Canis lupus familiaris: one gene and its partners. The protein of the gene in region 4 purifies or fractionates together with the protein of the main gene of each other region. This does not show direct contact. Links are inferred from orthologs where the notes say so. Each region holds a gene or a part of one and is shown on either strand. Other genes may lie near its edges.

Region 1 (7,276 bases), on a different chromosome or scaffold from region 4:
GAAACTGGAAATAACATGGACCTGATAGCTCTGCCACTTGCTGGCCATGTGCACTTGGGTTAGGTTACTTATTGTTTCTGAGCTTCGGAGTCATTATCTAAAAATAGGATTATTTACCTTAGAGGGCCATTGTGAGAATGCAATAAGCTAGTTTGTTAAGTGTTTGATATAACTCCTGGGATGTATTAGGTGCTTGGTCACTATAAGTCTCTCCCTAACCCACATGACCCTGCCTCATCTAGCTTTTCTGTGAACTTTCTAAAATCTACTGTCCCCAAAGGCCAATGCTTTTTTTCTTAATTTTCAAGTAACATTGCCTTTTAATGATCCAAACCGGAAGAAATACAGAGTAAGCCTTTCCCTAGTCCTATTAGATTGGAATCTAACTTTTAACAAATTCCCAGATGATAAGTAAATTCATCGAAATATGACAAGTACTGGACTAACCTAATATGACCAAAAAAGAGCCTATACACTTCTCTGAACCTGCCTCACCCCAGGCTTTGCCATGTAAGTAAATGGGATCATCCAGGTGTTAATGCCAAAAACACGGAGTCTTCTTTGATAGCTCCCTCTCCTGTTCCCCTCTCATCTAATCAAGCAGCAAGTCTAATTCCAAAATATATCTGCATCTGTCTCCTTCCATCCCTACACTCACACCTAAGCCACCATCTTCTCTCACCAGGACTACAGGAGCCAGGTCAACTTATCCGGGTATAGAAGGTGCAGTAGCTGAGCTCCACCATAATTTTAGGGACTCTCAAAAACATTTTAGTTTAAAATCATAATAAAAAGCAGGGATCCCTGGGTGGCTCAGCGGTTGAGCATCTGCCTTCAGCTCAGGGTGTGATCCCTGGGTCCCGGAATCGAGTTCCGCGTCGGGCTCCCTGCATGGAGCCTGCTTCTCCCTCTGCCTGTGTCTCTGCCCCTCTCTCTCTCTCTGTGTCTCCCATGAATCAATAAATAAAATACTTTTTAAAAACTATAATAAAACAGGGCAGCCCGGGTGGCTCAGCGATTTGGTGCCACCTTTGGCTTGGGGCGTGGTCCTAGAGTCCCGGGATGGAGTCCCGCGTCAGGCTCCCTGCATGGAGCCTGCTTGTCCCTCTGTCTCTCTCTCTGTGTCTCTCATGAATAAATAAATAAAATCTAAAAAAAAAAAAAAAAACTATAATAAAACAAAGGTTTAGGTCAAAACATGTCTTCATGTATAACATTAATATATTGGCCAGAAATCATAAAGTATAATTCTATAGTTAATTGTGAATTTTTACGTATACACCGATGTAACCACCTTCCACATCAAGATACTAAGTCATCCTTTTCAAAATTTTATTTCAAGTCATGACATTAAATCGTGTAACTTTACTGCATAAAATTGCATGAAATCCTTCCATGCTTTCCCACCCCCCTTGGAATAAAATCCAGGGACCCCCTAGGTGGCTCAGTGGTTGAGCATCTGCCTTTGGTTCAGGGTGTGATCCCAAGGTCCCGAGTTCGAGTCCCACATCGAGCTCCCTGCATGGAGCCTGCTTCTCCCTCTGCCTGTGTCTCTGCCTCTCTCTCTCTCTGATGAATAAATAAATAAAGTCTTAAAAAAAAAAAAAAAAAGGAATAAAATCCCAACTCCGAAACCTGGTTTACAAAGCCTCACGTGACCCAACTCCCCACTGCCTCTCACTGGGCCTTGCATCACTCTTCCCCTTCCCTCAGCATCCCCCAGCTACCAGGCCTTAAATGCCTCGACTGGTCCAGGAAGCTCCTACCCTGGAGCGTATGACCTGCCTGCATCCTCTGCCTTCTTCTAAAGCTCTTCCTAGGGATGTGCAGGAGGCCACTGGCGATCTGTAACCCGGATCTCTTTATTTTTTCTTTTTTTAAGATTTTATTGATCTATTCATGAGCGACAGAGAGAGAGAGAGGCAGAGACACAGGCAGAAGGAGAAGCAGGCTCCATGCAGGGAGCCCAACGTGGGACTCGATGCCGGGTCTCCAGGGTCACACCCTGGGCCGAAGGCAGGTGCTAAACCGCTGCGCCACGCAGGGATCCCTACCGGGATCTGTTTAAACGTCACCTCCCCAGAGGCCTTCCCTAGCCGGGCCATCTAAAGTCGCACCCAATCATCTGTGAATCCAAGCACCTTGAAATCACCTGCAAAGTGTTCATCCTTCCTCAACATTCATTCACAGCTTCCCGTCTGTCCTTCCTTCACTTGGACTAGAACGCCCTTCGCAGTTGTGTTTTCCGTCGAATCGAGAAATGCCAAGAATCGTGCCTGACACGTGGCAGGTGCTCCACGAACGCTTCCCTGGAATGACATCCTAATACGGGACACGATAACCTAGAATAAAACGCAGCGTTAGCTGGAGGAGGCAAGGATGCCACTGGGCTGTGAAATCCTAAGGGCCTGCATGTGGATGAACGCAGCTCAAAAAATGAAGGGCTACGTAGGTCAAAGCCCATGGCAATCAACTTGCTCGGTATTTGCTCCTTATTCCTTCTTTTTTTTTTTTTTTCCCTCCATCCTTACGCAAGACACCGGGTTTGTTTCGCTTCGACAAAAAGCAATCAAAAAAAAAAAAAAAAAAAAAAAAAACGTTCAGTAACTTAGCCACATCCGTCTCCACACGTGGAAACACCAAAAGTAAAGAAACTCAGCATCTTCCCTTTCCCTCCAAAGCCAATCGCAGCGCAGCATCCCGCGGCCCGGGCCGTCCAGGTCCCGCCCGCCTGGCCCCGCCCCTTCCGCTTACCCACCGCCCGGAAGTCCGCCGGGCCTGGGACCCGCCCCCTCGCCCGCGCGGAGCCCTGCGTAAAGCGAGAGGGACTTCGCGACAGCCCAGGCCCCACCCCTTTGGCCACATGTCGCGCAGGCCTTCCCGTCGGACGCCGCGCCGCCTCCTCGCGCTGCTTTACGAACCCAGAGCGGCGCCGCCCCGCCCCCTCCCCCTCCCAGCTTCGCCTCTCCTAGCCCGACGCTCCCGCTATAATCACGTGATCGCCTCATCCGGGTCCTTTGCGTTCTCTCTCCCTCTCCCAACATGGCGGCCTCAGGTGAGTGAGCGGCCGAGCGCGGCCGAGGACCAGGCTCGTTCGCCGCCCTCCGAGCCTGATCCGCGGGCTCCCCGGAATCGGGGGACGGGCGGCAGCGCTCTCCTTCGGACTGCGGGGCTGCGGCGGGCTGGCGGCTCGGCCACGTGAGGTTATCGCCTCGGGATGTCGGGGGGGAGGGGACGGCGTCCTTCCCCTCCCCCTCACACCCTTTTCACCCCGTCAGCGCGAGGTTGGAGCGGGGAGGAACGCCGGCCTCCGGCTTGGGCCCGAGCGACGGGGCGCGGGGAGGAGGCTCTGCGGGAGGCGGGGGCCTCCTCGTGGGCGGTTGGCGCGCGGGCGGGCGCACGGCGGGCGACGTGTGCGAGGCGCGAGGCCGCGGCGGGCGGGGTGGGGGTGGGGTGGGGGCGGGGGGGCGGTTAGAACGCGGCGGGGAGGGCGCGGCGCGCGTGCGCGGTAGGCCGGGCGAGGGGCGCGGGCCTGGGGCGCGGCGGGGGCGCGGCGGGGCCGGGGGCGCGGCGGGGGCGCGGGCCTTGCTCTGCCTCCCGCCTGCCCTTGCGCTCGCTGCGCTCCTGTCGCCCGGTGCGGCCCGCTGCCCGCTGCTCCCCGAGGGTGGACGTCGCGGGGGTGGGGGTGGGGAGCCCGGTGCGGTGCGCCCACGTGTCGGAGCAGCGCGAGCGAGGATGGAGACCCAGATGGTCTGGAGGCCTTTTTTTTTTTTTCTTTTTCTTTTTCTTTTTCCCTCCTCCTTAATCAGTACGCCTTTACTGATCAGAAAGCAAGCCAGGCATGTTCTAGGTGCCGGGGAGGGACCACACACACACACACACAAAAAGGAGGGGGGGTGAACAAGATCAGATCCCTTGACAGCTTCCATTTTTGGTATATTTTGATAGGTCCGATAGTAGAAGTCAGCTTTTCTTTCTCTTTTCTTTCTTTTTTCTTTTTTCTTTTTTTTTTTTTTAACTACTGGGGAGTGCTTTTAAAATATTAGTGGATACAGTTGGGGTTTTTTTGTTTTGTTTTTTTGTTTGTTTATTTTAGAGGACTTTGGAGTAGGGAGTATCAGTCAGTGTCCTGCAAGTCTGCATTTCTCAAGGACTTGGCGATGGGTTTTGGGATATTTTCAGCATTCGCTTTAGTTTGGGGGATGATAATTTATTTCTCTGGCATGATCATGGGTTCTGCAAAACATTGCTTGCTATCCCTAAGATACTCATTTCTCATTAGAAATGGATTTTCTGGGGATTCCCCGGGTGGCTCAGTGGTTGAGCGTCACCTTTGGCCCCAGGGCGTGACCCCGGGTTGCTGGATCGAGTCCCACATCGGGGTCCCTGCATGGAGCCTGCTCCTCCCTCTGCGTGTGTCTCTGCCCCTTTCTCTCTCTCTCTCATGAATAAATAATTTTTTTTAATTGATTTTCTTTGTCAACCTAGGACACTAAGAATTAGGTATGTTTTTGGAAAATGTTGAGGGAATTGAGGTGCGCTTGAATATTATAATACTTTTCATTTGTGTAGCACCTGACAGTTGACCAGGCACTCTTGTGTATGTATGTTCTCATTTGATCCTCTGTTAGATAACGTGGGCAGATGGTGGTATCTCCAGCAGAGAAAGATTAAATTGTTCAAGGTCACATGGCTGCAGGTAGCAGAGCAAGGTCAAAATCTTGGAGACTCCTGACTGTCCTCCATTATCAACTTGGAAATTACAAAGTTGGCTTCCATGTGATCGTATTTTGGGGATCTACCCAAAAACTTTATCTGAATTAGAGTACTTATTTGGCCTGGATTTGCCATCTTGACGGCTTGGTGCCATAATTTAGTGAAAAGCCCATAATTCGTTTTTCACTAAAACGTGGCTTTTTTAGGGGTGGAAGACACGTTGGCAGTCTGTGCCCTGCATTTTACAGAACTGAGCGAAATCTAGACTAAAGGGATTTGCTTGGTGTCCACTTCTGTTCTTCCACGTTTACCCCCTTTTTGAGCCCCTCATCTCTTTACTTGGGTTCCATAAATCTTCTTAGCTTTGTAGTATGTGTAAGAAACAGTATCTTGAGTACGAGGTTACATCTGACAGTCTGCCCTTGGGGAATTTGGTATTTATCAGACTTTTCCCACTTTGCATCCTTTCCAGTCTCATTGGTTTTGTTGAGCGGCCAATATTACCAGATACAGCCATGTTAATGAGACTAAAATTCTTGGTGTATTTTCAATATACTTCTTGATGATGCTCAATGTCTTGTTGAAAATATATCTTATATTTCTCAGTGAAAATACCCTTGATATGATAGAACTTCACAGGCCCCTTGTAAATGAGACCAAAAAATTCTTTGCAGCAATACCAGTATCCAGTTGACCCTTCGATTTTCAAGAACCAAAAGTGTCCCAAAACGGACTATTGAACTGCTCTCCTTACTTGAGACAAATGCTTTCAAATTGGAAATAGTGGTTGTATGCACAGAAGACAGAAGGCCTTTCACTTGTATAGCACTTGAAAATGTCATCTTGTTTAATTATTTTCACAGGGATAGAATAGTTGTTTACATACAGTGCTTTTCCTTAAAGAGTAACATAGTTTCATTATATGCTGTTCACATACAGGTTTCCCCTGCTCTCCAGGGGTAGAGCATTTTGTAAACTGGAATGGCATAAAGCAAAGAAGCGATGACCATTAGTTTTTAGGGAAATTTTTTGGAGCATTCCTGGTACCTTGGGGTGTATCTTGCTAACAAGATAAAGCACAGATGTTCACAGACAGTTCAAAGTTTTGGTAGTTTGATGTTGAGTATAATTCTGGGGGAATGAGCTTGAACGTGGCACACTGTTGAAAGTGTGTGCTGCCTGCATTATGGCTTAATAGCAAAACAAACACCTGATGCTGTTTTTTGTTTTGGTAAGAGCAAAGATTCTCTCTAGGTTTCTTTCAGTTAGGGAAAACAGGTAATGATGTAAGTCTTTCATAAAAGCAAAATGGCATAATGCAGCCTTTTGAAAAGCAAGGGCTGGGGATCCGTCCCGCATCGGGTTCCCTTCCCTGCATGGAGCCTGCTTCTCTCTCTGCCTGTGTCTCTGTGCCTCTCTCTCTCTGTCTCTCTCTGTGTCTCATGAATAAATAAATACTTAAAAAAAAAAAAGCAAGGGCTACCTATATTACTATTTTTTAATTCCATTCTCTACCATATGTTATTCTGGGAGTAGGATACCCAGATTCAGAAAGCCAAAACTAAACTGTATGAAAATTTAAATGCAGATACAAGGAGTGTCAAAGTAAAACATAGTGTTTCTATGTAGTTCTTAATATATATATGTATACTTTTAGGGGTGCCTGGGTGGCTTGGTTAAAGCATCTGACTCTTGATTTCTGCTCAGGTCTTGATCTCAGGGTCATGAGAGCACTGAGTCAGCTTGAGATCCTCTCCCTCTCCACTCCCCTCCCTACTCACTGACTCGTGCACACACTCTCTAAAATAAAAATAAAGTCTTTAAAATATATATATATCTTTTTTAAACAGCTTTTTAAGTTCAAATTTACATACCATATGTGTATGGCTTGACAGTATATCCTACCACTTTGTTCATACTAGTCTCATAGCATCTTAGAATGTATTCACTTTTTATGAAGATGGGGGAAAGAATTAACCTCGGAGTATTGTTTTTTAAAAATTAAGTGCATATTTCTAATTAATTATATGTGTGTATACTTAAGTGCACACACCAAAGTCAATTTGTGTTTTTACATCAACAACCATATTGAGTGTGGAAAGGTAAGGGGAAGGCAGTATGGCATTTTCCTCCCACTGTCAGTATGAAGAAGTTGAGTCATGTAACTGAATTGGTGAGGTCAAGGTGGTGCAGCTTACTCTTACTTGGTTTTTATTCTCTACTGTGCTCAACTGTAGTGCAGTAAGGTGAGGCCTGTGGACATTATGATATTACATTGTATGAAACCTCATGGCTTGGCTTTAAACAGCAGCATAATTAATTTAGTTCTAGGCACTCTAGTATAGGTGGACTGATTTGCATTTATACGGTATTGTTTCTTTAAGGGAACATTTGTTGATCATTATTCGTTTTTAATTCTGCAAGATTTGGCAAGATTCACTTTCCAGAAAGAAATGCCTTGCCGTATTAGAAGTCATTTCTTCCACCACCAGCCCCCAATCTGTTTATTTGTATTTACCTATTCTTTTTTTTTTTTTTTGTATTTATCTATTCTAAACAT
Region 2 (7,440 bases), on a different chromosome or scaffold from region 4:
TACACTCAAGTGTATGGTTGGAAATTTTTTTTAAGTACTGAACAGTATCAGACACTTAGTACTGTGCCTAATAAATATTTGTTGAATTCTGTTGTTGTTGTTGTGATGGTGGTGGTGGTGAGCTAAAAGTTTCATTAAAAAAAAAAAAACCCAAAAAATAAAAAAATAAAAAAACCCCACAAAACTCACTTCCCAACAACAACAAAAAGAATTATTTCATTGTGAAGTTCAGTACCACAAAATTTTAAATAATTCAACACAAGCCTCTTTAAAAAAAAATTTTTTTTCCCCAAAGTAAACAGACAGACAATGTCAAGTCTATTTGAGATGCTTGAGAGACAAAGGGATTCAAGGCAGTAGGAGGATATGCCTGTCCTCTGCTGAACATTTGACAGTGCAGCCTTTGGGTATGTGTATGTTGGGGATGGAGGGAGGTGCGGTATGAAGAAAGGAGCTAGGGAGGAGGGGATTGGTCCTGGGGTCTTGGCCTTTGTGTGGCCCCCCCCTGAGATCCAGCTGCAGTCCTGGCTTGAATCCACCATCAGGCAGGCAAGGGAGTCTGGTGCTGTGCCCTTGCACCCCTACCTGGGCTCCTATGCCAGCAGTAGAGGAGAAGACCTGTCCTCCCTGAGGTCAGCTGTGTTAGAGGAAGAAAACGGGGCATGTCTGGGCAGAGATTTCCAGACACTGAACAGTCCTAGATGTCAGTAATTGTAGCTGCTCCAAGCCTGGGATCTATTTCTTAGTGGTATTTCTGTTCAAAGTAGCATTCTATTCTTTGAAATGTATTTTTAAAGATTTAAAAATTTATTTTATTCTATTTCTTTTATTTTTTTTAACATTTTTAAATGTATTTATTCGTGAGAGGCACAGAGAGGTGGCAGAGACATAAGCAGAGGGAGAAGCAGGCTCCCTGTGGGGAGCCTGATGTGGGCCTTGATCCCAGGACCCCAGGATCTCGACCCAAGCCAAAACAGATGCGCAGCCCCTGAGCCACCCAGGCTCCCTATATTTCTTTTATTTTTTAAAAGTAAGCTCTATGCCCAACAAGGGGCTTGAAGTCAGACCCTGAAATCAAGAGTCACATTCTCTCCTGACTGAGCCAGCCAGGCACCCTCCTCTGTTCCCCGCAATTTTTTAAAAGCAAAACTACAACTATATTAAGTGAAAGAAGGAGGCAAAAAAGAAGTACAAGAGGGGCTAGTGGTGGCAAGTGGGTGGGAGGAAATGGGCACCTCGCTTGCTTTTGTACCAGCGGCAAGCACCAGTGGACATTTCCAGAATTGTCTTTCATCAATGCCACCTCAGTACACTGCCTGAAAATGAGGAGTGCTGGGGGTTTCCCTCTTTCTAGAGCCACTTAAATAGAGAGGGCAATGAGCAGAGAGCTCTGAGAGGCACTGGGCCTATGCTCCAATTATAGCTGTTTATTTGCTGTGTGACCTGAGTCAGGTCACTGAACTTCTCTGAGCCTCAGTGTTCCCAGCAGCGTAAGCGGATTGTGCGGGGGAATATCCAGGAGATAATTTGCTAACCAAGTCCTTCCCCCTTCCTAGCTATCAAATCTGTTGCAATCAGAGGTGCCTGGGTAGTTCAGTTGGTTTAGCATCTGTCTTTGCTTCATGATTTTGGGGTCTTGGTATCCAGCCTGGAGTTGGGCTCTTTGCTCAGCAGGTAGTCTGCTTCTACCTCTCTCCCTACTTCTCCCCCTTCCTCTGCTCCTGCTCTCTCTCTGTCTCATTCATAAATAAATAAATAAATAAATAAATAAATAAATAAATAAATAAATAAATAAAATCTAAAAAAAAAAAATATGTTGCGGGATCCCTGGGTGGTGCAGCGGTTTGGCGCCTGCCTTTGGCCCAGGGCGCGATCCTGGTGACCCGGGATCGAATCCCACGTCGGGCTCCCGGTGCATGGAGCCTGCTTCTCCCTCTGCCTGTGTCTCTGCCTCTCTCTCCCTGTGTGTGTGACTATCATAAATAAATAAAAAAATAAAAAAAATCTGTTGCAATCATAGAGATCTCTATTGTTGAGGTGAGAAGGAGGTGGATGTGGGCACGAGGAGGAGGGGTAGGGAGGTTGGTTCAATGTCCAATTTCCCCCATTTCCTGCTTTCCCCTGGAGACCTGGTTGACCTTTTCTGAGTATTCCCCATTCCCTCCTTCCCCGGGGGCATTGGGCGAGCAACAACTTTGCATCCGTTTAGTCCTGAGGTCCTTAATTTCTTCATCTGTGAAAGAAGGGGGATCGAATCCGGTTCTGGTCTCCAAGATGCTTTGTTGGCGTGTCTGGGTGCTTGGGAAGAGGCGGTCTAGTGAGGGGTCTGTGGGAAGACTGGCGGTATAGTGGGCTTTTCTGGAAATCGCCGAGCGAGGCACATCCTTTATGCTTTTATTTATGGAGTGTTATCTATGAATGTCACCCCTCGTGATCTTCTCGGGGCCAGAAGAAGGGCTCATCCTAAGAATGCCATCCCTTCGTGGGGAGTGCCAACTCCCAACCCAGCGAAAACAACCCCGGTCTGTGGCTCAGTTAGTGGGGAAACATGTCAAGCACAGGGACCCAGGCGCGGGGCGCGGGGCGCCGGGCGCGGGGCGCGGGGCGGGGAGGGAAGCGCCCCCCTGCAGCCCGCGGTGTAGGCGTCTGACTTCGGAGGTCTCCAGCCGCCGGCGAGTTGCGAGCTGCGGCGGCGGACGGCGGCAGAAGGGGCGGTGCCAGGCCTGGGGGCGGGGCGGCCGGTCCCTATATAAGGCGGCACCGGGCGGTGCCAGCTCGCGAGCTGCTGCGGGAGACGGTGGCTTGGAGAGCGGAGGCGGGCGCGGATTCGCGGAGCCGGAGACCCTCGGAGGAGGTGAGGGCGTTGTGGCCGGCGAGGGGGCCTGGGCCGGCGGCTCGGAGCCCGGCCGAGGTGTCCGCCTCGTGTGTGTGTGTTAGTGTCCCAGCGGGTGAGTGTGTGCGTGCGCGTGCCGTCTTCACAGGTGAATGACGTGCGTGGGTCGGCGCGTGGGGCTGGGCTCGGCTCCCACGGGTGTCTCCGGAAGGTGCGCTTGTGCCGGAGGTCGGGCTGTGTCGGAAGCCCGGGGCGGCGGGAGCGCAGCAGAGCGGGGGATCCCCTGCCGCGCCCCCCGCCCTGGAGCCAGGGGAGGCGTGGACTCGCGCGCCCCAGGCCCCCGGCGGCGCGCGGAGGGAGCCCCCGGGCGCGGAGCCCCCGGAGGGGCGGGGAACGCCGAGCCCGGCAGGTTCACCGCCCTCCGCTCCCGGCGGCTGCGATCCAATCCGCGCCGTCTCCGCCCAGACCCCTGCGGCCGGGGTCCCCGACGCCTCCGCGTCCGCCACCGGCTGGGCGCTGAGGTCAGCGCGGGCGGCGTACCCCCCCCGGTCCTTGGGAACGTGTTGGGACACATCCTTTCAGGGCAATCGAGGAGGTGACTCACGGTGACAAGGAGACCCCGGGAAATGGGACGGGTGCGGTCAGAGCCCCGCCCGGGCTGGGGGACAGTGGCGCCCCAGAAGTCGGCTTCCTCCCCGCCCCGGGTGTCTGTGCCCCGATCGGCACAGTGACTGTTTGGCTGGCACAAAGTGTTCTCAGGGAAGCCGGGACATCGGGAGGTCCAGGACTGGGTGTCCGGTCCCCGCCTCGCAGCGCGCCCTCGGGGACCCGGAGCGGTGGCCCTGCGCGGGCTGGGCTCGCTCCAGCCGGCCCGTGGGAGAAGAACAGGGGTCGGACACACCTGTCCTCCTTCGCGCCCCGCCTGCCCTGGGGTCGGGGCGCCGCATTCCGCAGCGGGAGGGGAGACCTGCGCCGCGGGGCCGCGGGGCGTGCAGCCCACGCGCGGGGCGAGGGACCCGGAGAGGTCCCATCTGGAGGCTGGTCCCACCCTGACGGCCACATCCGGGGGCTCCCGGCGCCCCTCGCCAAACTGCCCTGTCCGAGGGCGACTGCTCAGCGCGCAGCGAGAGGACGAGCCGTCCTTTGGGCGCCGCCGCCCAGCGCGGGCCACCGTGCACCCCCCCCCCCGTCGGGGGCCCTCGGGGGACACGGGCGCCCGCCTCTTGCGGAAAAGAATCTTGGAATTGGGTTTGGCGCTTTGGGGTGCCCGGGCGGCTCCCTCCCTGCCCCCCCTTCCCTGCCTCCACGTCGCGGTTCGAGGACTGTCGAGCGGTTCTGTTTTCCTTGCTTTCGTCTATTTTTATTTTCCAGGGATCTGACTCATCCCGTGCTTTGGGCGTGGAGATAAGGTGGAGGGACCAAACCTCTGCGCGCCTCTGCGTGCGGAGTGTGTGTGTGTGTGTGTGTGTGTGTGTCACGGAGGCGCGCGCGTTTTTCCAACAGTGGCGGGGCTTTCGGAAGCCTGGCTGGCTCAGCGTGACGTGTTCGCGGCCCCCGGTCCGCCCCCCGGTCCGCCCCCCGCCTCCCCTCCCCACCCGAGGGTGACGCTGCAGCCCGAGCGCACGCAGAGTTGTGGCGGGCGGGGAGCGCTCCGCAGGAAACTGACTCATCGCTGCTCGCGGCGGCGGCTCGCGGCTCTGCCCACACGCCGACCCTGCGCGTGATTTCCTGGAGACCGGCGCCCCCGTCCGGCCCCGAAGCGAGTAGCAAGCCCGCCTTCCCTTCCCGCCTCGCTGCGCCGCGGCTGAGCCTGAGCCGCAGCTGCGAACGCCCCTGAAAAAGCATGACCCGTTGGCTCATCGCGGGGTGCTCAGTGCTTACTGGTTACTTCGGAATTAAAACTGGCTGAAGTCTAAGACACGAAGGCCAACCAAGGATGCTATTCTCGGTTGTTTGTGAAATAAGGGTTTATATTTGACTTTTCTCTGAACTGGGAGTTACGATAATGGGAATGAGATCAGATTTTGATGAGGAGCCTATGAGGGCCATAGGGTGGTAGGAGAGAGGATCCTTGCCTGGATTCTGGTCCCATCTTGAGCGCCTAGAAGCCTGGGAATACTCAGCCTCCTGGTGAAAAGCCAAGGCAGGCTCCTCCTCCTTGTGCCAGTGAGGCCATCCTGTGTATCCTCTCTTGAAAGGCACCCCAAGAGTGCCCATATGGGGAACTGCCAAACACCTGCTTAAATCCCCTTTATTTTATTATTTTTTAAGATTATTTATTTATTTATTCATGAGAGACACACAGAGGAGGCAGAGACACAGGCAGAGGGAGAAGCAGGCTCCCTGCGGGAAACCGGCTGTGGGACTCTACCCTTGAACTCCGGCATCAGGCCCTGCACCGAAGGCAGATGCTCAACTGCTGAGCCAACCAGGGGCTTAAATCCCCTTTAGTTTGAGTTATTCTGGGAAGAGAGGGACCTATCAACCTGTATTTTTTAAAAAGCTCCCTAAGTGATTCTGCTGGGCCTCTGGTTAGGAACACAAAACTAGAGAGGGAGTAAGGATGAACACCAGAGCACGGAACCCAGGATAAACAGGCCTGGGTTCAAATCCTGGCTGTGCCACTTGTGAGCCATGTGACCTCGGGCAAGTTACTTTACTTCTCTGAGGTCTTAGTTACTTCTTCTGTTAAAAAAAAAAAAAGACCAATATACCCACTCTTTAGGAAAATTAATATTTATTAACTTAGAACAGCCCCTGGCACATAAAAATATATAAATAAATCCTGATGCTTGCCCTAAAGAGAGTGGGTGAAGGTTATTTGAGGGCTCCGCCCACTGTGCTGTGTAACCCCTCTATGGGGCAGTGGCCCTTGGCCTTTTTAGTTTTCTGATTTGGGGGCAAGCCTCGTATCTCTCTAAACGCTTGCCCTTTAAACTTGGTCTGAGGTCACCTAATGTGTCCTCTCTCCTATAAGCTGTGGGAGGTGGGGTGGGGAGGGGGAGCTGTGGCAAGGGTCCAGGGCTTCCTGCCCCAGGAGGTCACTCAGCAGAGCTTTCACCCTCAGAGCCTGCAAAGCAGGACTTGTCCTCGGGGGAAAAGCCAGTCCCTGCCAAGGTTGCAAAGCCGCTCAGCCCTGGAGTCAGGCCAGAGCAGGGCAGGTAGGTGCCAGCACTTCGTCATGAGCAAACTCACCCTCGGTTTTCCCTCTTCTGAAGTGAAAGGAGAGGAACCAGGTAGACCGGTCAACTCTAATTTTCTTTGCCCGCAAAACGGGTTCCTCAGATGCAGCTAACACAGGCAGAGGCTTCCAGGCTGTCTAGACTTCAGATCACCTGATGTGCCTGGCAGGATGTGGCTCAGCCTGGGAGAAATCATCACCCTGGCCTGCCCTGCCCAGCCCCTCCTCACCTCCAGGCCTCCCGCCTGATGACATCCTTGGGAAAGGCCCCCAGCACACAGCACCTGTCAGCTGCTGTCTGAAGGAGGTGGTGGTGGGGGAAGGGGGGGAAGACTCAGCCAGAACTGAACACAGAGAAATAATAACACTTCTATATACCAGCTTCTATATACCAGCTGCTTCTCTGCCTGTTACCTACGTTAACTCAGTTAATCCTCACATCTGTCCTCTGAGACATTCACTATTACTGTCTCCATTTTACAGATGAGGCAAATAGAGTTGAGAGAAGTTAAGCTATTTGTGCAGGGTCACCCAGCGGAGCCTGGATTCCAACCTAGGCAGTCCTGCTCCAGAGCCCTCACTCTTAACTACAGGATAGAGCCTCCACCTCTGTTCTATTGCCTTGCTAGAAGGGACTCCCTGACCAATTGCTTGAGCATGCTTGCACAGCCCCATTTTTTTATAGATGAGAAAATTGAGGCCCAGAGACATTAAGTGACTTTATTTTTTTAATCTTTAACATTTTTAAGTGACTTATTTTTAACAGATTTTATTTATTTATTAGAGAGAGAGAGAGTTGTGCACAAGCCGAGGAAGAGGCAGAGAGAGGGGGAGAAGCAGACTCCCTGTGGAGGAGGGAGCCCAATGCAGGGCTCCATCCCTCAGGATCATGACCTGAGCCAAAGTCAGACACTTAAACAACTGAGCCACCCAGGCACCCCTTTAAGTGACTTTAAAGTTTATGTAATACGCAGCAGAGCTAGGAATAGATCCTAGGTGGGGTTTTTTTTTTTTTTTTCTTTTTATCCCAAAACCCTGGGGGTACTTTTGAATTTCAGAACAGAATTATCCCACATGGGTATCTTGGTAGAGGGATTCAGGAGGCCAGAGTTGCTGTCAGCCTGCCCTTTCATTTGGGACCTGACCTTTTGGTCCGGGCTGGGGTTGGGAAACTACTGGACTCTGGTAATTCACACCCATGAAGGACACCTCGAGGGGGAAACTCATTGATTTTAGTTGATAATACTGGTGGTAAACAGGACTCCGATCCTGCTAATGCAATAAACTTGTCTTTGTTGACAGAACCTGTCCTTCAGCTGCCCACTCCCCCAGTGACCTTGGGGTGCCAGGATGGCTGAGTTCTGGCCCCATCCGGGGGCTGTGGACTGGGGGCTGGGAGTGGCCTGTGGGGAGGAGATGGTGGAGA
Region 3 (7,376 bases), about 37 Mb from region 4:
GAGACACAGAGAGAGGCAAAGACATAGGCAGAGGGAGAAGCAGGTTCCCAGAGGGAAGCCCAATGTGGGACTCTGGGATCACGCCCTGAGTTGAAGGCAGACACTCAGTCACTGAGCCACCCAGGCGTCCCATTTGCTTTGTTTCTTAAATTCCACATATGAGTGAAATCATGATATTTAGTCTTTTCTGATTGGTTTCTTTTATCATTTTCTACAGTGCCTTCACCATTTGACATTTCCACCATCACTGTGTGATTGTTCCAATTTCTCTACATATTTGTCAACACCTATTATCTGTCTAAATAAATAAATTTATTTCTAAGTGTTTTATTTGTTTTGATGCTATTTTAAATGGAAACATTTTCTTACCTTCCATTTCAAATTTTTACTGCTAGCATATAGAAATGCAATTGATTCTTATATTGACCTGAACTCATTTATTAGTTCTCATAGCTCTTTAGTGGATTTTTTGGGATTTTTTATATATAAGGTCATGTCATCTGCAAATAAAGGAAGCTTTATTTCTTTCCCTTACAATCTGGATGCCTTTTATTTCATTGTACTTACTTATAAGTACTTGATTACGTCAGAAAATAAGAATCTTCATTTTTTAACTATTTAATTATACAAATATAATTTCCATAATAACCTATTTTTCACTACTGACCAGAGATGGATTCTTATCACATACTAAATACTTTTATACTTGGGTATGTTAGTGGGATCTCTGTGTTTTATTCCTCCTGCTATGCTTATTCCAATACCACATTGAGTTTAGCTTGTAGCTTTATAAATCATTCTGCTTCCTTGAAGTGTGAGTTCCTTTATCAGGTATAAATGAAATCCAAACTAGGTAAGATAAAGTAGCCAACACAGTGCCTGGCACTTAGGTGGTATTCTCTAGAGGGCAATACCACATCCTGTGGTTATCCTTTGTGTCCCACCACCCATAGTAATTGTGATTTATAAATAGTTAATAATTTTTACTTTTTTTTCTAGAGCCCAACATTTTAATTATTTTTCTTAACCAAACATCCAAGGATAACCAGGGTAAACAATGTATTAAGAAGATATGTAATGAAATCTGTACTGATGGACAATTGTGATATTCCATTTTTCCATTACATACAAAGCCTACATAATTGATACTGTATTCCCAGTTCCAGCAAAGAATAAACGCATAACAAACAGTTATTATGGGAATTTAAAAAATACAAAGCATTTTTTAAAACATAAGATTAGTTTTAGCACATTATTAATTCTCTCCATGGGTAAATATTAGAAGGAAATACTGAACCAAAATGTCATATTTAGGATCCCTGGGTGGCGCAGCGGTTTAGCGCCTGCCTTTGGCCCAGGGCGCGATCCTGGAGACCAGGGATCGAATCCCACATCGGGCTCCCGGTGCATGGAGCCTGCTTCTCCCTCTGCCTATGTCTCTGCCTCTCTCTCTCTCTCTCTCTGTGACTATCATAAATAAATAAAAATTTTAAAAAAATGTCATATTTATTTTATTTTATTTTATTTTATTTTATTTATTTTATTTTATTTTTCATATTTATTTTAAAACAATTTACCAGCTTACTTTTCAGAACATTTTTTTTACCATACCACTCAAGAGCAGGAAAGAGTGCATATGTCCCCAATCCCTTAAGAAATCGGTATGCATTTTCAGATAGATCAATGGTTTTCCTTAATTGTTCATGTCTTTGTTATCTTATTTTTAAAGGCCTTCTACACAAAAAGCTTAAGTGGAAACAGAGACTACTTATTCAGAACTTGTTATAACAAGGCAGTCAGCCACCATTACTTTTATTTGGCAGAGACTGGAAGTCTCTAGGGAGTGGAAAAACTTTAGCTCAAGCAAAAGAGAAGACTAAGTATTATTCTCGGATTGGAGATTGTTGGCATAGGGTTGCTAGAAGCAGGCTAAGAGAACATCTTATGTGATTGGTTTGGGGAGCATATGTGGATTTCTCTTGTTGAGAGGGGTTCAAAAAATAGGGAGGTTGTCAATCGTTGATCAGAGGCTGTGGTTTGGCTTCCTGAGGCTGCTTGCTGCAGAGGTTGCGGTTCTCAGTTCTATTGTCATGTACGATCAGGTCATTGTCTGTTGTATATTTAGTCTCTCACTTAGAAAAAAAATTGTTCTTTTATTCTGCTTCAAATATAATTTTAGTTTTAGATTTCAATAATTAGAAAATGTATGTGCGCATGTCAGGAAAAAGGAATAATTTCATTTTGAGGGGAACAGTTTCCTAATTTTTTTCTAAAGTGCAATATTCTGGGCACGTGGGTGGCTCTGTCGGTTGAGCCTCAGACTCTTGATTTCCCCTCAGGTCAGGATCTCAGGGTCCTGGGATGGAGCCCGGTAGGGGCTCCGAGCTCAACTGGGAGTCGCTGGATGCCCCTCCCCCTTTATTTCTCTAAAATAAAAAAATAAATCTTTAGAAAATAAAAGTGCAATATTCTATGTACGACATTAAAGTTCACATTCATACGATTTCATTGGCTGGCTCTAGTTCTTTCAATGGAAATTAAGAGCAACATGGTCAAGACTCCTCCCCCGCACCGCTCAACCCATTAAAAAAGCCTCTGAGGTTTTTATTAAATTTATTCCTTGGATCACCTCAAGAAGAGAAAAAGGTCAAAACTGCCCAGAGAGGTGCGGGGTGACCCGCAACGCCCCCCGCCCCGGCTGCTGGGCGGGGCGGCAGGGGGGAGGGGGGCGAGCTCCGGTGACGCGACGCTCACGTGACCAACCCGGCGCAGATCTGGGCACCAGTCCGGGAGCCCGCCCTCTTCCTTGCGGTCGGATCCGGAGCGGTTTGCTAGCTCTTAATTGTTGCTCCAGGTTCTTTCAGGTCAGTGTGAGGGCCTTCGTCGCTGCCTGCGGAACCCTGGAATGGGGGATGGGGGTGAGGCACGGACACGGAGAAGAAAAAGGGTGGGAATGGGGTCCGTGTTGAGAAAAGCTGGCGAGAGTGTAGGTAGAGATGGCGGTGGGAAAATGGCTAAAGGGTGAGCTAGCGACCAATCGGCGGAGGGTCGGAAGAGCGGACACCCCTAGTACCCGTGTCCCCTTTCTCCTCACCTCTTCGCTGCCCTCCGTCCATTTTGGAGCCGGAGCTGGTGAGCTTGGGGGCGCCCCGCCAGTGAGACAGTAAAAATAAACCCCCTTTCCCACTCCATGCGTAGAGAAAAAAAGTTGACCTCGAGAGTGGGGAGGCGAGTTGCCTCCGGGGAAGAAGGACACAGAGATCCAAAATTAGTTTGGAAAACATCCTGGTCTGGCGCCGGAGGCGTGAAAAGAAATGGCGGCTGGGGTGTGGGGGGCGGAGGAAGTGGGGGAGGGAAACGTTGGATGAGAAGGGCCGGGATTCTGGAAAGGGGCTCCGAGTCCCTGTGCATCCACCCGAATGCGCAGCCCCTGTGTCCTGTCTTATCTGCAGGTCTGCGTGTCTGTTCTCAGCACTCTGCAGGGCTAGAAAAGGACGAATCTGCTCAGAATTCCTGCAGGTCAGTGAAGAAAGGGGTCTCTGGGCAGGGATCCAGGGGGGGTGGGGAGTGTGGAGGGTAGAGCACCAGCAGAATATGGGGCACCACTGCCCACCTCCTAACACATTTATACACGCTGCTGTGCTGAACAAGCATAGAGAAAATGGCTGGGCTTGCCAGAGAAATGGTTGGCTCATGTGTGTGAGGGGAGAGGGTGGGCAGAAGGCACACGGAAAGGCCGGGCCAGGTCAGGGGAACCCTGATAAGGGGAAAGATGCCAGTACTATCCAGACCTGCATTCCACCCCCAAGCCCTGTTTCCTTGTCTCCTCTTTGTCTCCTCTTCCTCCCCACCCTAGGACAGGAAAAGGAGGGGAAATCTCAACATGGAAAAACTCTGCAATGAAAATGAAGGAATGACTGAGAACCAAGGAAAGATGGAATACAAAGAACAGCCACAGGATGTGGAAGAACCCGAAGTAGATTGTACTCTGGAAAACCAGGAAAAGTTAGAAAATGAGAGAAAGACAGAAGATGAGGAAATACTAAAGGATAAAGAAAAGTCAGAAAGTATGACAAAGCCAAAGGATGGAAAGCCAGCGGAGAACGAGGGAAAGCCAGCGGAGAGCGAGGGAAAGCCAGCGGAGAGCGAGGGGAAGCCAGCGGAGAGCGAGGGGAAGCCAGCGGAGAGCGAGGGGAAGCCAGCGGAGAGCGAGGGGAAGCCAGCGGAGAGCGAGGGAAAGCCAGTGGAGAGCGAGGGAAAGCCAAAAGAAGAAGGAAAACCGGTGAGTGAGGGAAAGCCAAAAGAAGAAGGAAAACCAGTGAGTGAGAGAAAGCCAAAAGAAGAAGGAAAACCAGTGAGTGAGGGAAAGCCAAAAGAAGAAGGAAAACCAGTGAGTGAGGGAAAGCCAAAAGAAGGAAAGCTAGTGAGTGAGGGAAAGCCAAAAGAAGAAAACTTAGAGAGTGAGGGAAAGCCAGTGAATGAGGAAAAGCCAAAAGAAGAAAAGCCAGCCATCGAACCAAGGGCTGCAGGAAAGCGCCCAGCTGGGGATGATGTACCCAGGAAGGCCAAAAGAAAAACCAACAAGGGGCTGGCTCAGTGCCTCAAGGAATATAAGGAGGCCATACACGATATGCATTTGAGCAATGAAGAGATGATAAGAGAATTTGATGAGATGGCCAGGGTAGAGGATGAGGTGAAGAAAACCAGACAGAAATTGGGGGGGTTTATGTGGATGCAAAAAAGTTTACAGGACCCCTTCCACCCGAGGGGCCCAAGGGAACTGAGGGGTGGGTGCAGGGCCCCACAGAGGGGCTTTGAAGACATTCCTTTTGTGTAGTGCCCTTGGCAGGCATTTGCCCTGTGCTTTAACCTTATGCTAATACTTGCTTTAGCTATCACTCTGTTATCCAACTGCAACCCTTGATGTTTCAGTAGATTTTTGTCCATTGCATGGAAAAATGTTTATGGCATATTGTAAAATTAAAAAGAAGAGTTTGATGAACCATATATATGGCATCAGTCCATTTTTGTAAAACTACGAAGGTATTTACTTAGTGATTTATGTACAGAGGAAACTGAAAGCTGTGTCCTGGTTATCTGTGGCTGATTTTTTTTTCTGTTCTTTTTTGTTCATTGTATATTTTCTCCTAAAAAACATAGATTACTTTCATTATGAAAACAATATATACCAAGCAATCAAAATAACTGTTCGTTTAGCTTATGAATACAGTGGAGACACCAAAAATCCTTGGTCAGTATATAAAATGTTTTGTAAAATTCATGTTTGAGACTGGAAGCTGGAAGACTCAACCTGGCCGTTACTACAGATCCATTGCTGTAACAGTCTTGTCATCTTATCAAATGGGATAATACTTGCCTTCCAGGGCTGTAGAGAAGATCAGATGAGGTAATACTAGGAGCTGTGTTGATCTGGCTCCAACTCTTAGCCTTGCAGTAGCAGAACCAGAACTCTGTCATATGTTTAGGGGAGCTATAAAAGACATCTCACTTGTGTCCAGGAGTAAGTCAGATAAAAAGTGGGTATCACTGTCCCCAGGGTAATGCCATGTCTCTTGGGCACTGTGCTCCTTCTCAGGGGCTCTGTACCCTCCTGAAGCCCCAGCTGCTACTGGTGGGCTGGAGACCACAATGGACTAAAGCAACGGTGTCTCAACAGAAAGATGGAGAATTCTCTACCTACAACAGTTACCCTAACTCAGGTGGGTATTACCCGATTGTCATAGAGCCTTGATATTTTATAAAGTTTTTAGAAAACATTCCTTTCCAGACTTTTTGTTGATTTGTGTGTGCTTTTGCATATAGCCATCTCCACTGGATTTAGATACTGGAGATTGAGCCAGAAAAATCTGACCAGATGCTGTGCTGTTCTCACCTGTTAATCTCTTGTCTACTGATACTTCTCTTAGGGAATTGTCTCAAGAAGTTTGTGTTAAGCCCTGCCCTACCATTTCAACAGATCCATCTATCTATGTGATCCCTGCCCCACCCCCAACTCTTCATTAGCCTTTTACTTTTAGTGTTTTTTAAATACACTTTCATTTTAGGAGTTATAGATTTACAGAATTATTGCAATAATAGTACAGAATTTCTGTATACTTCATACCCAGTATCCTCTATTCACATCTTATGTTAGTATGGTGCATTTGTTACAATGAACCAATATTGATACATCTTATTTAATGTCCTTTTTCTGTTCTAGGATCCTATACAGGTTACCACCTTACATTTAGTCATCTTGTCCATAGGCTCCTCTTGGCTGTGACAGTTTCTCAGACTTTCCTTGTTTTTGATGCCCTTGACACTTATGAGAAGTACTGGTCAGGCATTTTGTATAATGTCCCACAGTTTTGGTTTGCTTGATTTTTTTCTTGTGGTTACATAGGCATTAAATGCTTTTTGGGAAGAACACCAGGAAGGAAGTGCCATACTCACCACATCATGTAAAGGGTACATGTTACAGGGTGCATGGCTGGCATAGTAAAAAAATATTAAATTCTTGATCTCGAGGTCGTGAGTTCAAGCCCCATGTTGGGTGTTTTTAAAAAAAAGTACATACTATCAAAACTATCAATATTACACTGTTGATGTTAACTTTCATCACCTGGGTGAGGTAGTTTTAGGATTCTCCATGGCAAAATTACTCTTATTTCTCCCTTTCCATACTGTACTCTTTAGAAGAAAGTCACTGCATAGTTCACACTTAAGGACTGAGTGATGTTAGGTTACACCTACCTGAGAGTGAAGTATCTATAGATTTATTTGTAATTTATAAAATATTTGACTATTCTCCTATTAATGTATTTTATTTATATCAGTATGGACTCTTTTTTTTAAAAAAGGTTTTATTTTAATTCTAGTTAACATACAGCATAATATTAGTTCAGGTGTACAAATACAGTGATTGAACAGTTTGATACATCACGCTGTGGTCATCATGACAAATGCACTCTTTAATCCCCATCACCTATTTCACTCATCCCTACAGCACCCTCCCCTCTGGTAACCATTAGATTGTTCTCTATAATTAAAAGTCTGTTTCTTGCTATGTCTCTCTCTTATTTTTTTTGGTTTCTTAAGTTCCAAATATGAGTGAAAGCATATGGTATTTGTCTCTGACTTATTTCACTTAGCATTATACTCTAGGTGCAAAAGGCAAGATTTTATTGTTTTTTTATGGCTAAATAATATTCCACTGTCCCTCAAAAAGTTAAAAATATAACTACCTTATGGTCCAGTAATCAGTATTTTATAATTTTGTATTATAATCTAATACTACACATATTTTCCAACTTTGGCCATTGGGAGCTCTTTCACTTGGCTCTTGTGTTTATTTAATGTACCTCCTTCCATTACTG
Region 4 (7,314 bases):
ACACAAAGATTTGCTCCTTTGACCTATAAAAGGAATGGCAATAGGCATAATTAAGTTTAATTAAAATTCTCCAAATTTCAATGAACTTAAAACTTTTATAAAAGCTCTTTTATTTTCCAAACTTAGTATTTTCTTTCAATTTTATTAAGTTTTTAATTTTAATTCTAGTATAGTTAACTCAGTTTCATGTGCACAATATAGTGATTCAATAATTCTATATACGTTACTCAGTGTTCATAATGTACTCTTTAACAAACAATGTTTTTTAAAAATGACAAATCAAAAAGCAAATTTATCTTCCTAGCTTAATTATATTAATTATAATTAGATACACAAATATCTTTCAATAATTGCCTATTTTTCAAGCTAAAAAGCATACTCCTGTTCAAGCAACAAAGACTGGTACATTTACTGTCTACCAAAAGATTTCCCACTCCAGGACTCTAAACTCATAAATTCTCTCCCCCCAGTTCATGAAAAGTCTGAACAAGCACTAGGGGGACCAACTCAATGACAAGGGAATTGCCAGTCTTTGTTTATTTCAGTCTTTCATTATATCCAGAAATCAAGGGATAGCCACCTTGTTTAAGAGCTACGCAGCAATCACCAAAGAAGTGAAAACTGTTGATTTAGTTCTAGCATCTTCGTTACACTTAAAATGGTCCTCCATGTTGTACAGACTTCTCCACTGACAGAAAAGGCTCAACATTTCTAAGGCTAGTCCTTCACCTCTAATGGAACACTGTCACTTTCCCTTCACACATCACTATCCACTCTGCAACACTGAACCCAGCCACACTCCTTCTTTTACCTGAACAAAGAATCTCTTGCCTGCTGCTTACCTGTTAGAAAACTACCCACACCCTGCACAAACCATCTAGAGACTCCCTTTCCTCTCCCTGATTTAATTATGTTTGTAGATGGTTCATCCTCAAAAACTGGAATTTGCCAAGGAAGCTATACTATCATAGATACTAATTTACTCTTAAAATATAAGCTTCTCCTAGAGATTTAAATCAGTTCAGATTTAATTATGTTTGTAGATGGTTCATCCTCAAAAACTGGAATTTGCCAAGGAAGCTATACTATCACAGATATTAATTTACTCTTAAAATATAAGCTTCTCCTAGAGATTTAAATCAGTTCAAATTACTTCCCCTTGCCCAGATCTGCCAGCTGACGAAAAGAAGGTGTAAAATATTAATATTGGTATTAGATATGATTTGAGGATTATTAGTCTGTGACTTTGTAAACACAAATTTCCTGACCACTGCAGCAAACCTCTATCAAATGAACAACAAATTAAAGAACCTTGAGATGCTTTGCTCTCACCTAAGTAGATAAGCATTTAAAAAATGGAGCTATGGAAAAATGCTTCATGGTATCAGCTACAATAGCAGAGATAAACTGGCTTTAATACTGAACCAACATTGGTGGGGTAATTTTTTTTATTGACAGAACATAATTCTATTTGTTTATTTATTTTATTGGAGTTCAATCTGCCAACATATAGCATAACACCCAGTGCTCATCCCGCCAAGTGTCCCCCTCAGTGCCCATCACCCAGTCACCCCAACCCCCCGCCCACTTCCCCTTCCACTACCCCTTGTTCATTTCCCAGAGTTAGGTGTCTCTCATGTTTTGTCATCCTCACTGATATTTTCACTCATTTGACAGAACATAATTTTAAAAATTCACATAAAATTAGCCATTTTCAAGTGAACAGTTTGGTGGCATTTAGTACATTCACAATGTTGTGCAACCGTGACTTCTATCTAGTTCCAACACATTTTCAACACCCAAAAAAGGAAATCCATACCGGTGGGGTAACTAAAGGGTACTGTCACAAGGAGGCTGTAAAGGCATGATGCATCAGGAACCAAAGCCCCCAACCCTGTTTGAACACATCCAAATAAACTATAAAAGATGATCCAGTTATTGTTTATTTTCAACAGGGTGGAATGAGGCTTTTCCTTGCCCGAGAGCTACAGCACAACAGTTAAAAAAGAAAAAAAAAGATTTCGTATTCTCTATTTGGGGAATTTCAATTTGTCTCTGAACTCTCCAGTAACAGGGAGAGTAACACATTGTGATTAGAGAACTCTAAAATAAGCAAAACTCACTCAGAACAGCCCTCAGGTGAGAGCATGCCTGCGGTGTCTGAGGAACAGGAGTCCAATATGGCTGGATGGAGAGAGTTGGGGGGGTGGGCAGTGGTAATCAGAGCAGGGGGACCAGACTTGCTAGTCGTTGTAAGAATTTTAGCATTTACACTGCACGATGGGACGCTGTTAAAACGTTTTGAGGAATGAATGGCTATAATATGTTTTTAAAAGAATTACCGCATACGGAAAGAGAAAAATACTACCTTTATAGTGGAGAAACAGGGCAGATACCATCTTCACCAAATGTTCAAGGTTAACGTCACCAATGACGTAATGTGGATACCGTATACCACCTGATATGATGCAAAGGGCACACGGTACGCCTCTAGGCATAGGATTTCACATATATCCTCCATGAAATGAAAGCTTAGACCACAAATACTATTTTTTTTTCCACAAATACTATTTAGGGATGCATACAAAAGCGGAAAAATGTTAACAAATTGAAAACTTCAGAATAATAGTGGCGCAGGGAGAGGGATTTCCATCAGGGAGGAGATTTCTTAAGCTAACGGTCTGAAATCTTAACCTGAATGGTGAATTCACAAATTTTTATTATTCTTTTATTTACTTTGAAATAGACTCAGAAAAAAATTGCAAAGATAATATAAAGAATTCCCGTATACCCTTCATCCACATTTCCCAAATTTAACATTTTAGCCATTTGCCTCATCGTTTCTTTAAATACATCTTTACATACGCTATTTTTTCCCGACCATTTGCGAGTAAGCGGCTTACACAATGGTTCTTTATCCGAAAAATTTCAGCATGTATTCCCTTAAAAAAATTCTCTTTCATAACCACAATTATCCAAAGCAAGAAATTATCACTACTAATATCTAATCTACAAGCCTCAGTCAAATTTCATCAATTTTCCCATTAACATCTTTTACAATAAAAAAAGAGAAATCAATCTTATGAGAAAAATCCTGATTTTTAAATAATTTATTTTTCTGCTCCGGGATCCAATGCAGGATCACACATTGCATTTAGTTATGATTCTTTAAATCCCATTAATTCCTTCAATCTGGAACAGTTCTTCATCCTTTGTCTTTCACGACCTTGAAATTTTTGAAAAGCACAGGCCGTTTATTTTTACAGAATGTCCATCAATCTGGGCTACGTAAACGTTTTATGCAATCTTTTTAGGTCTTACGTATATCACAATTTAAAAAATGAGATGCAACTTGGCGAGAAATAAAATAAACCCAGAAACAGTGTATTTCAAGTACTGGTTAGCCAAGAAATCAGTAAAACAAGCCAATTTATCAAGACACGCACTGACATTTTTTAAAATAACTATTTCTCCTGATTACAAAAACGAAGCAGTACTAAAACACAAAACAAATGTAATAGCGAAGGCCCCTCCCGTGCCAATCACCTGCACTTTCTCCCGTCCTGGGAAGAAGGCCTCGGCCAGAGGCAAAAACCTCGCCGCGTCACAAACTTTGCTCATTCGCAGGCGCCATTTTCTGCTTCACAGGCACTACCTCCCCTCTGCAGTCTTTCCTTGGCCTCAGGACACGCCCCTCAGCGTCCGTCACAAGCCTCGTTCCCAGGCGCCAGCTCCCTCCACCACGCAGGCTCCGACTCCTTCCCTCCGCCCACAGCCCCACGGCTCGGATTCCGCTCTTCTGCCTGACGTCATCCCCGCCTAGCTCTCAGGCGCGGAGAAACCGCAGGCCGCCCCGCCGCCAGATGCTACTCAACGCCACGCAGACCACGCCCCTCGGCCTCGGGCACCGCCCCTTCCCAGGTTGCGAGTTCCATCACGCACTCCCGGCCCCACCCCCTCGCCTCTCCAAAACAAACCTCCAGTTCTCAGGCCTGGGGCACCACCATACAGGCCCCGCCTTTTTCCCCAGACAAGGTGATCCACTCACAGGCACTTCCCCGCCCCTCCCGTCCTCAGTCTCACAGGCCACTCCCCCACCCCCACAGCAATTCTTCGGACCTCAGCCTCCACGTTCCCCCAGCCGAGGATCCGTTCGCAGCCCTGTCTCACCAGCTTTCGCCCGCACGCAGTGGACGCTCTCGCCCACTCTCGCTGTTCTCGATTTGGCGCCACTGGCTCTCCAGGCCCGGCACCGCTTCGCGCTGCGGCTCTCGGTCTTCAGCCGCAGCCGCCACATTCGCTGCGACCGCCGCCATCACCGTTCGCCCTCCTCTCACAGCCACCGCAGCTGGAGATAGGAAGAGGCCCCTCAACGGCCACTTCCGGATTCTGGTCCCGGAAACGGAAACAGAGCCCCCCAAACAGCCAGGGGGCTACTGCCATCTTGGAAAGGGACCCCACGCTCGCACGCGTGGACCGGCTAGGCGGGCGTGGGACTGTGGGCGGTGATCCCTGCGGCCAATGGGCGGGGCAAAACCTCCAGTTAGGGACTAAGGAAGACAAAGGTGCCTTGTAGGATTTTAAAGCCATGTTGAGTCAGGGCAAAAGGTGGTGTGGAAAGGTGGAGGCTGAGGTCCCGTTATGGACGAGGACATTTTGGGGAGTGCTCAGGGACACGAAGGTTCCGCGCTTTCTCGGTCCCATGCTTTGCTGGGAACCACGGCCCCTACCCTGAGAGTTTTTGTTAGCCTGACCAGAATGCCCTATTCACTGCGCTGCTCTTGTCCATCAGAACCTAATACAAAAAAGGTCACCACCCAAGCCTACGGGCTGCTTCCCTGCCTGAACTAGATTTATTTTCCTGACAAACGTGTTGAAGGCAAGTCAGCTTCAGGCCCAGTGTATTTGTTGGCATTATAGCAATGATAACTAATAATAGTTGGCCCTGTTTAAATGCTTTATTGCACGTAAAAGGTAGCCTTAGGCAACAGATGAACATCACCGTCCCCTACGGACATCAAAGGGGCAAAGTGAGGACCAGAAACATTCATTTTGCCCCAGCTAGTAAAAAACACCGAGCTGTGGTTCGAACTCAGAGCTGTGACCTTAAGCACAAGGCCAAACTGTGGTTTTAGGCTTCCTACTGGTTCAGGAGACCTTCTCAGGAGGATTCACAAAGTCAAAACTATTTTCACAATACTTTTTCATTGTCAAGCTGTCTTGCGTGTGTGATGGAATATTCTGAGAGGCTACATAAGCAAAAGCTCTTTAGATGTCCTCAATTTTTAAGACTATTAAAGAGATCATGACCAAAAAGTTTAGAACCATTGCCCCAGGCCAGGAGTTCTCAATCAAGATCTATTGACATTTCTGTTGTGGGAAGCATTGTAGGATATTTAGTTGCATCCCTGCCCTTTACCCACTGGATAGCAGTATCATCCCCTAATTGTCTCATCACCAAAAGTGTCTCTAGACGTTGCCAGTGTTCCCTGGGGGTGGAGATCTCTGGTTGAGAACCACTTCACTAGGCTCTGCCATCCTTTTCTGCTGAGGCTTCTAGCCCTACCTCTTGTTGATAACTTTAGCATTTCACACTCTGGCTCTCTTTATCTACCTGTGTTGGCTGCCCCACCTGACCGTCTCACATACTCCCCCAAGATGGGCTCATGATTCTGGCTCTGGTTCAGTGACTTATTCTGGCTCTGGTTCAGTGACCCATTCCCACAAGCAAGACCACACAGCTTGCCTTCCTATACCTCTAGGCTGGTGCACACAGCTCCCTGGGCCTGGAGTGTCCAGAATACCCTCACCTCTCCCTGAACAATTTCAAATCCCACCCATCCACTAGATACCATAACTCTTTTCAGTTAACCTCTACAGGGCAGGGATTGTCTTTATTACTGTGATTCCAGCCCCTGGCCCAGACCTGAACAGCCGTGGGGTTACAACTCAGTTGTGTAAATTCTGGGGAGGGAAAGAGAACAACCCTTTCATCCAGGGTTCTCTATAATGGCATGGAATTTGGTCTGGCACATGGCAAGTAGCTGCTTTTGAAGCCCAGCTTAATCTGGTCAGGTCCTCTGAATTGCCTTTCCTCATTGCCCCTCTGCAGACTCTCCCTCCCCATTTATTGGATAGCCGGTCCTTCCTACAATTCAAGAGGCCTCCCTTCCCAGGCCTAGACTGTTTGGTTTCCTCACCTTCCAAAGGCCAACCTCTGCACACAGCAATGACCCTACCACTTCCCAGAGCAGATGTGTAAATTCCAGCCTTTCTAAGTTTGGTTTGGCAATCCTGTCTCCCTTTGCAGGGTCCTCATTTTCCCAGCATCCCTTGCTGCCAGAGGTGGCCATATCATCTTATTCTAGCCATAGAATGGCTCGAGAAGTCTGCTAAGAAGTTTGTGGAAGGTTCAGCCCTATTACAAGGAAATAGGGTGTCCGGTTTTCCTCGCTTGCTTCCCCATCTCTGGGAACATGGCAGCTGTCATGCAACCATAAGGCTGCAAACCGAGAGATCACCAAAATGTTTACAGGGGCACAGTGGAATGATTAGAAGTTCTTGGGCCACCACCCCTGGACTTCAGTAACCAGCCTTAGGTTTATTACCTGCAGTATTTGCCTGGCCCTGCCCACCCCCACCTCTTCTGTTTGAAAAGCTGTCCTTGGCTTTGCCCAGATGTTGGGACAGAGGCCAGAACTCCCAGGACAAAGGTAATCAAAGCCCCCATTATCCTCACACTTGAGTCCAAGTTCTAGGCTGTGCTATTTGGCCTCTCACAAGCCGCTGCATCCTTCTCAGGATTTCTGTTACTCCCTGGACACCAATAATCCAAACTTCCAGTTCCATCCATCAGTGGCTCCATTCCTGAATTTGATCCATTATGATTCCCCTACCTACTCAGTGGTCCAAAAATCTATCCTTCCTCTCATACTCTCTCTCCACCTGGCCTGCCTCATGGTGTCCAGTTCTGATGTGTGGTCATACTGGTCCTCCCTGCCTCACCTCTTGGTTTAACGGAGTCTTCCAAGTGTCTCTCACAGTCCCTCTACATACACCTGTCCCCACACTATCTGGCATTCTCATATTCTTGGGTAAATCTCACTCTTCTCCTGGATTCTTAGCTCATCCTCTTTTCAGCCTGCCCTACCTGCTTCAACAAAAATGTTCCACTATTGTGTGTGCAACCCCTCAGATGGCTTTCAGTCATGCCATGTCCCTGGCCCATCTCAGTGCTCTCCTAGATGTCGGGGGCCAGGTATGAATTCTCCAAGGTCCTAGAACTCACCTTGGACTGAGCCCACCCCCACCCCT

The links.
Region 1: the proteins of USP11 (region 4) and EIF4B purify together in Homo sapiens (affinity purification with western blotting; 3 studies listed by BioGRID, with this or other methods). This does not show direct contact. The link is inferred for Canis lupus familiaris from reciprocal best matches to the Homo sapiens genes USP11 and EIF4B.
Region 2: the proteins of USP11 (region 4) and CDKN1A purify together in Homo sapiens (affinity purification with western blotting; 4 studies listed by BioGRID, with this or other methods). This does not show direct contact. The link is inferred for Canis lupus familiaris from reciprocal best matches to the Homo sapiens genes USP11 and CDKN1A.
Region 3: the proteins of USP11 (region 4) and TCEAL4 purify together in Homo sapiens (affinity purification with mass spectrometry; 3 studies listed by BioGRID, with this or other methods). This does not show direct contact. The link is inferred for Canis lupus familiaris from reciprocal best matches to the Homo sapiens genes USP11 and TCEAL4.

The regions. Positions count from the first base shown.
Region 1 is NC_049248.1:44,497,755-44,505,030, forward strand, and holds the start of EIF4B (eukaryotic translation initiation factor 4B), read left to right. Parts: upstream 1-2,904; 5' UTR 2,905-3,042; coding exon 3,043-3,055; intron 3,056-7,276. UniProt on the Homo sapiens protein: Required for the binding of mRNA to ribosomes. Functions in close association with EIF4-F and EIF4-A. Binds near the 5'-terminal cap of mRNA in presence of EIF-4F and ATP.
Region 2 is NC_049233.1:5,925,495-5,932,934, forward strand, and holds the start of CDKN1A (cyclin-dependent kinase inhibitor 1), read left to right. Parts: upstream 1-2,734; 5' UTR 2,735-2,854; intron 2,855-7,440. UniProt on the Homo sapiens protein: Plays an important role in controlling cell cycle progression and DNA damage-induced G2 arrest. Involved in p53/TP53 mediated inhibition of cellular proliferation in response to DNA damage.
Region 3 is NC_049260.1:77,557,388-77,564,763, forward strand, and holds TCEAL4 (transcription elongation factor A protein-like 4), read left to right. Parts: upstream 1-2,714; 5' UTR 2,715-2,864; exon of another isoform or gene 2,865-2,865; coding exon of another isoform or gene 2,866-2,900; exon of another isoform or gene 2,901-2,918; intron 2,919-3,094; coding exon of another isoform or gene 3,095-3,695; exon of another isoform or gene 3,696-3,738; intron 3,739-3,856; 5' UTR 3,857-3,883; coding exon 3,884-4,837; 3' UTR 4,838-5,007; downstream 5,008-7,376. Other genes in the region: uncharacterized protein LOC111094751, read right to left, coding at 2,866-2,900, 3,095-3,695. UniProt on the Homo sapiens protein: May be involved in transcriptional regulation.
Region 4 is NC_049260.1:41,025,868-41,033,181, reverse strand, and holds the start of USP11 (ubiquitin carboxyl-terminal hydrolase 11), read right to left. Parts: upstream 3,864-7,314; 5' UTR 3,547-3,863; intron 1-3,546.